Linked DNA regions of Callithrix jacchus. The protein of the gene in region 2 purifies or fractionates together with the protein of the main gene of each other region. This does not show direct contact. Links are inferred from orthologs where the notes say so. Each region holds a gene or a part of one and is shown on either strand. Other genes may lie near its edges.

Region 1 (3,822 bases), on a different chromosome or scaffold from region 2:
TGACCTTTAAGAAAGTATTTCCCACTCCATATACAGAATTTATGCATAATCTGTTTCTAGTTTAATTCAAAAATACAGTTCTTTTTAAAATGCAATGATCATAGGTATATGAAAAGATTATAAAATCTAAACATTCTATCAGGTGTTAACTGTTAGAAATTTCAAAATGTAGCATAACTTACTGCCAGCTCAAGAGGCAGATGAACAACTTGTTTGTACTGAAGAATACAGAAATCATTCATGACTTAATTGTTCTTCTCTTCCTATAAATATGATCCGAATCTCTTTTTCATAGTCATTTGTGAACCATCACAGGTTTCAAAACATTGGTAGCTCATTGGCTCTTACCATTGTCTATGAAAGTGCTGATGCCATGTGGGTTGAATGAAGCCAAATCAAACCCACGGCTGATTCTTAATTCCCGTGCCCTCGGTTTTTCTTCTTTTAGATCCATCATTAGTATTCCTCCAGGCTTATCTGGTGCAAAGCTGTGGAGTCCTGGGAATTTCAGACCCTTCCAAAACAGTGAAAAATGTTAAATACAAAGGCTGAAGTGTCTTTACAGACTAACATGGGAACTGTACATGAAGGAGAAATAGAGATATGGTTACAGTAGTGGTATAAAGCCACAAAAAACTCAAAAAACAGAGAAAGTATAATAGAAAAAATAATAACGGGGAGCTGGAACACTGAAAGCTGAAAATAACTGATTTTGTTGAGTTGATACAGAAGATCAGGGATTTATTCTCTTCAGAGGGTAATCAGAAGGTTGGTGGACAAGGTGATCCAGGGAAAGCTGAAAGTGGAGAAAAGTGACATCTGCATACTGACTGTGGAAAGTTTGTTCACTGCTAGATCCCACTGCCTGGAACAGTGCCCGGCATATAGTCCATCCTTTTCCCACTGATTCAAAATGTCTCATTTATCATGTGCTAGATCTCTTACATATTGGTCTATTTAGGGACTCTCTGTTGTGTTCTTTTAATGTCTCATGCCTATTCTTGTGCCAGTATAACAGCTTTTAAATTACTACAGCTTTAGGTCAGGCCTGGTGGCTCATGCCTATGATCCCAGCACTTTGGGAGGCTGACATGGCAGGATTGCTTGAGGCCAGGAGTTTGAGACCAGCCTGGGTAACATAGCTGGTCTCTACTAAAAAAAAAAAAAATTAGGTGGGTTTTGTGGTGAGCACTTGTAGTCCTAGCTACTTGGCTAAGGTGGAAGGATCTCTTGAGTACAGGAGTTTAGCAGTTCAGCCTGCAGTGACCTGACTGTACTACCGCACAGCAGCCTGGGCAATTGAGCCAGTCCCTGTTTCTCCTGACAGTTTTGTCTTTTTCTTTCCTATCTCAAGTTTCTTTTTCTTGTTTTACTGAATCCCTAAGAACCCTAGTAGATTACTGAGGGTTGTGGTATTGCTGGGTATTTTCTTCCTGTTGGAACATTAATGCAAATGCAGGTAATGCTTCACCATTAAGAAAAATGTTCGCTGTAGTTTTGTGGGAATTTTCCTTCTCCTTCTAGTTTGCTTGAAACTCTAGGAATAAGTATTAAATTTTATTAAATGCTTTTTTGGTACTCACTGAGATGATCTACGTCTTTTCTTTTAAATCAGTTATTAAATTACCTATCAGCCTATCTAAAAATGTGATTCATCATTGCATTCTTAAGGTAAAGCCTTCTTGGTGATAAATTTTATTTGAATGCATTACCTTATTCAGTTTACTAATACGGTGAAGTCATATTTTAAGCAAATTTAACGGCACAATAAAAAAGTCTCACTTTACGTATAAAATTGGATATAAGAGGAAATCTCTCCAATTAAAATGATCTATAATCGTATACTTTCATGGAAGGCAGGCGGCGTAAGTAGAACAAACTGGAATTATGCTATCGTTACATGGCAGTGCCACTTCAGTTATTATTAATCTCTATTCTTTATGAATGTCCCCAAAACAATAGCATGATTTCCATGCAAAGGAAACACTATCAGATGGTAATAACTAGACATGGTTATGCTGGCGCTCCTTATTAAGTATTTTTTTCTCTTTTTATAAATTTATTTTTAATTGTGATAAAATTCACATAATATTCATCACTTTCACCATTTTTAAGTGTACAGTTCAGTGGTGTGAAGTACACTCACATTGTTGTTTATATTTTTTACCTTTTATTGTATGTCATCCAATTATTCATGAAGTGTGACATTAATTTTGAGGTGACCCTCAACCCATAACTGTAAAATAGGTCAGGTTGGATGAGCTAAAATGCTAGGAAGAACAACAAACAATCCCCACAATGTAGGAGCTCTTCACTTAGAAGACAGTACACTCTGGGTTATATTAGAGACAATACCAAGTAAATGAAAAACAGCAGCAAACTGGGAATGTTTCTAAATTTGTTTAAAAATCAAAGTCAAATAACCAAAGGAGGATAACAGAAAAAAAGCAGAAAAAGTTCTACTGACATGGCTATAAGATCTTTGTAACTGTAATATGCCCCCAAGCTAAAATGGCTATAGAGTTGTGTGCTTGGAGACCTCATCCCTCCTACTTCAGATTTATTACTATGGGGGCTGGAGAGAAATCTTGAAATAGGTGAATTCTAGATTATAAAAATCTCTAAGAACACATCCTTGCAAAACAACAACGACAAAACCACAAACAAACAAAAAATTCAATGCGACTGCGTTCTACGTTATTCAGAATTTTTGCATCTCTACTTCTGAATATGTTGGACTAGTGGTCCCAGTAATTTTTCCTAAGCCTATATACACATGTGCAAGCATGTGCTTCTAAACAAACCCAGAATTCTACTATAAATATTACTTTACTCATTCTGTGTTGGCAATTAAATAAAACCTTTCTTTTAAAACCTTATTTTTTTAATTAAATATATATATTGGTGTTTCTGCTAAAGCCCACAGTATTTCTTTATTCCCTCAGTGGTAATAACCAGCTGCTCACAGTCTTTCATATAAAAACCGTCAGGAACCTGAAGACTGTTCTCACTCTCATTCTATTCCAAGCTGAGTTCTCTCACCTTTCTCATAAGTCTAACAACTATTTTATTAGTGTGGTGACTCCCTTCTAAGTATCTTCCAGTTTTTCCATATTCTTCCTGAGTCTCAGAGACTGAAAATAATGGATGTTGAGAGGAAACAGAATAATTACAGTCAGGCTTCAGAAGAGTTGGTTACTTCTTCCTCCAGAAAAACTGGACCTATGAAGATGCCAAGAATTCCTACATCTGCCCAAGCCAGGGAGGTAGGTGGTCAGAACCTCCTCATCTGACCTCTTATCTGGATTTCCAATTAGAATGGATATTGTTGCAAGCCATTTTCAACAATATTCACAAGCCAACTGTTTTTAAAGTCTTTCTATGGTATGCCCAGAAAGGATACTATTTTTCAGCTCACAAGAATCAAGGCAAAGTGAAGGGTGTAAATAAACTCAGTCAATGACTTTCCACTTATGATTGGCTATTCAGGGGAAAAAAGAAAGAAAGCAATAGGGCAAGGTTGGTATAATATTTGAAAATAAATAATAATGGCAAGAATATTTGCTTAAAGTTGAATATGTAATAGACAGATGGGTAGATGCTGTATTTAAAATAGCATGTTAGTATTGAGTATCCACAGGAAGATCTCATATATCCCTTTTAATAATGCATATTTAAAACACAGATTGCGGCTGGGCATTGTGGCTCACTCCTGTAATCTCAGCACTTTAGGATGCTCAGGTGGGCGGATCACCTGAGGTCAGAAGTTCAAGATCAGCCTGGCCAAAATGGTGAAACCCCATCTCTACTAAAAAATACAGA
Region 2 (3,822 bases):
CAGCATGATGCCGGATGGGCCTGCTCTCCCTGAATGCTCTAGACAGCTGTTCAGTCAGTTGAGCAACCACAGGGGCTATTTCTTCAGCGTGGGAACAGAGAAGTTATTCCTTGTCGCCTTTGAGGGCACTGATCAGCTAACTACATCTCAGGAGCTGAGGACATTCACTTCTGGTTCTAAAGAACTTTGACCTTGAGTTCTGTTTGTTACTGGAATAAGACTTTTTAAGGAGTTACTCTGTTTCAAGAATGTCACCACTAAAAACATGAGTTATACTCATGAAAAAACAATTAGCTTATGCTCCATACCCTAACCCAGCATTCTCCACAGGGTAGATGGTGCAAGCGAGCCATGGGTAATTTGAAGAAAAAAAAACACATTGAATGTTACATAATTTTTATAGTTGGATGAAGAAAGCATTTACTCTGTTGTGTGAGATAAAAGTCTACAAAAATGAGGGGCGGAGGTGCGTGAGCCTTGTGTTTCCTCATTGCGGGCATGGTTCCCACCAGTGTGGAGGCTGGTGTGAGGGACTGGCAGGCTCCTGGCAGGAACCTGACTTGTTTCTTATTATGCTTGTGCGTGTCCTCATAACCCCAGGCCTGCCTCTAGTGCTGTTTCCTTTCCTCTTCCTCTAGCTTTTCCTGGACTTTTTCACCTGAGGGTCCTGCAGTAATGGCAGGTGGTCTGCCTGGAACCATGCCCTGACCTGCTCTGTCCCCATGTCATTTGAAGGCAGTAACAGCTACCAGTTACTCAGATTTAAGGCTTTATCCCTGAATTTTGCCTTGCCCTCGCCTTCCTCATGGGGTTTTTACAGGTCTGAGCCTCTGGATGGTCCCTCACATCCCTGCTGTGGATGAAGGGACTCGGCTGCTCACTGCAGGTCACCTGACCTCCCTCACACCATCAACCATCCCCTCTGATGAGGGGGTCATATGCAGAAGCTTTTCAGCACCCAGAGCAGTTCTAGCTGATGGTCTGTCTGAAACTGCTGGTTCCCTCTCCACGGGCCGTCTGTCTGTCTGCACTGCACTGCCAGTCGCCTCTTGCCTGGCCCGTTGCACAAACCTCTCTACTTACTGTTCTGCCTGCTTCCTGTTTCTTTGCCATTTCCAGACCTTCTTCCACTTTGCCACGAGAGCTAGCTTTGTAAAACAGCTCATGACATCCCTTTCCCAGAAAGCTCTCATTGTTCCCCAGTGCCTCCAGGATAAAAAATCCAAACTACTTAACTGGCACTGAGTCCTTTTATTTCACAGTCTGTCTGTTGCTCTTCCCAGACTGGCCCCCTTCTTTAGAAGCCCCCTCAGTGGCACCCCATGCCCTAGGAGAGGACTTCTTTTATTTAAATTATGTTTGTTAAGAGATAGAGTCTTGCTATGTTGCCCAGGCTGGACTCAAACTCCTGGGTTATAGCCATCCTTCTGCCTCAGCCTCCTGTGTAGCTGGGATTAGGCATGCCACCATACCTGGCATACAGGACTTGCCAAACCACCATCTTGCTCTCATTCCCTTTCACTGTTCTCTCTCCCTCCTTTTTTCCTCCTGCAGTTGTAATTGTGTGAGACACCTTCTTGTCCTCTCTCTTTGGTGAAATCCCCCTCATCCTCGGAGCTCTGGGTCTGTACGGTCTCTTCCTCTTGGCTATAGTCTCACCTTTTACTGTTTGCTCCCTCCTCTGTGCCCACATAGCAGCATGCACCGTGTACCATTGATGACACTGGGCAGTATTTGCCTGTCTCTTGCCCAGTAATTCTGAGCTACCAAAGGCGAGTACTGGAGCTGTATTATTCAAGTGAGAAACCTCAGGGCCCATGTTGTACTTAGAATACAGCCGGCCTCATCAAATGTTTGTATTGTAAATGTTTAGGTCTCTGTGATATCTTGAGGCCTTTCTAACGGGGAGGTGTTTTCTAAACTTGGCAGGGCTCCGGCCTCTCTGAATGATACAAGTTTGCTCCATGATCCTTGTCTGGGTACATTTGGTGGACCAGTGTTCCCCTGGCTTGTGTTGGGAGGCTATGATGGTGAGTAAGAGAAACCTTAACTTTTTCTATTGGGTAAAGTCATCTCGGTTTTGTCATTAGCTGTAATTATGAAGATTTCATAAATTGAGCAGTTTTGTTAGTTAATTTCCTACCTCTTGAATTCCAAATATAGTACCTCATTTGGCTTTGGGTTTGGGTTTCATTTTGGATTTAAAAGAAGTGGATTATATTAGCCATTTGTAGATCACACATGCCTTTGAGAAGCTGTTGAAGGGTAAGTACCTTTCCCCAGAATAATGCAATTGCTAACTTCAGCTTCAAGGAGGTCATGGGCCCTTGAAGCTCATTTATAGACCCCTGAGGGAGTTCATGGACCTCAGGTAAGAATCCCTGTGAAGGAGAAAAGTTAAAATGTGAGGTATGTGGAAAAAGAAACAAAGTTGATGGATTTTTTTTTTTTCTTCTAAGCCAGTCTCAGTTAGTTATTTGGATGGACACTCTTACAGTATGAAGAACAGCTAGTTTGCTCTTTTCTGGTTCCTGAAGCACTTTAGAACCAATTGTACTTGATAAAATGAGGTGATGGCATCAATAGCTAGACTGTCGATGGAAAAAAAAAAAAATGAGGTGATGATTCATGTGACACCTTTGGCATCTTAAGCCAAATTACAGGCTCAACAGGTTTTTCCCAGCCAATGAAGAACCCAAATAGGTTTTCTTCTCCTCACTCAGTGGTAGGGGAGAAGTTGCAATCTGTATTTAAAATTTACTGTGCATCCTAGAGGAAAATACCATTTCTAATTGGTGGAAAAGGGATGGTGTCAGCAACTGGCTAGCCACAGGGGAAACAGTTGACTTTGATCTCTACCTTGTTCCCAAAGTGCTGGGATCACAGGTGAGCCAGTAGCCAGTAAATTTTTTTTTTTTTAGACAGAGTGCAATGGTGCCATCTTGGCTCACTACAGCCTCTGCCCCGGGGTTGGAACAATTCTCCTGCCTCAGCCTCCCTAGTAGCTGGGATTACAGGTATATGCCACCACACCACACCCAGCTAATTTTATATTTTTAGTAGAGACAGGGTTTTGCCATGTTGTTGAGGCTTGTCTTGAACTCCTGACCTCAGATGCTCCACCCACCTCCGCCTCCCAGGGTGCTGGGATTACAGGCGTGAGCCACCACACCCGGCCATAAATATTTTGACTAAAGTAATGAAAAGTTTAGCCGGACATTGTGGCACACACCTGTGGTTCCAGCTACTTGGGAGGCTGAGGCAGAGAGTTGCTTGAGCCTGGGAAGTCAAGACTTCAGTGAACCATGATAGTGCCACTGCACTCCAGCCAGGGCAATGGAGTGAGACCTTGTCTCTAAAAAAGGCGGGCGGGGGGAGGGAATGAAAAATAGTTCAGCTTATTTGGAAGGCAGTTTGGGAGAATTTATCAAAGTTAGAAATGTATGCAGTTTTTGATTAGTGATTACACTTAAAGAGTTGATTCTAGCCAGGTGCAGTGGCTCATGTCTGTAATCCCAGCAAGCTTTGGGAAGTCAAGGCAGGAGGATCGCTTGAGCCCAGTAGTTCAAGTCCAGCCTGGGCAACATGACAAAATCCCATCTCTACATAAAATGCAAAAATTAGCCAGCAATGGTGGTGCATGCCTGTAGTCCCAGCTACTCGAAGGCTGAGGCAGGAGGTCAAGGCTGCAATGAGCTGTGATCACACCACTGCACTTCAGCCTGGGCAACAGAACAAGACACTGTCCCCTGTCTCCCTCTCACCCCCAAAAAAGAAAAAAGAATTGAAGAATTGATTCTACAAGTATGTGTTTTATACATT

Evidence for each region.
Region 1: the proteins of NPC1 (region 2) and PON2 purify together in Homo sapiens (affinity purification with mass spectrometry; 3 studies listed by BioGRID and IntAct, with this or other methods). This does not show direct contact. The link is inferred for Callithrix jacchus from reciprocal best matches to the Homo sapiens genes NPC1 and PON2.

Annotation. Positions count from the first base shown.
Region 1 is NC_133512.1:54,261,739-54,265,560, reverse strand, and holds part of PON2 (serum paraoxonase/arylesterase 2), read right to left. Parts: intron 515-3,822; coding exon 349-514; intron 1-348. UniProt on the Homo sapiens protein: Capable of hydrolyzing lactones and a number of aromatic carboxylic acid esters. Has antioxidant activity. Is not associated with high density lipoprotein.
Region 2 is NC_133514.1:66,652,708-66,656,529, reverse strand, and holds part of NPC1 (NPC intracellular cholesterol transporter 1), read left to right. Parts: intron 1-1,929; coding exon 1,930-2,030; intron 2,031-3,822. UniProt on the Homo sapiens protein: Intracellular cholesterol transporter which acts in concert with NPC2 and plays an important role in the egress of cholesterol from the endosomal/lysosomal compartment.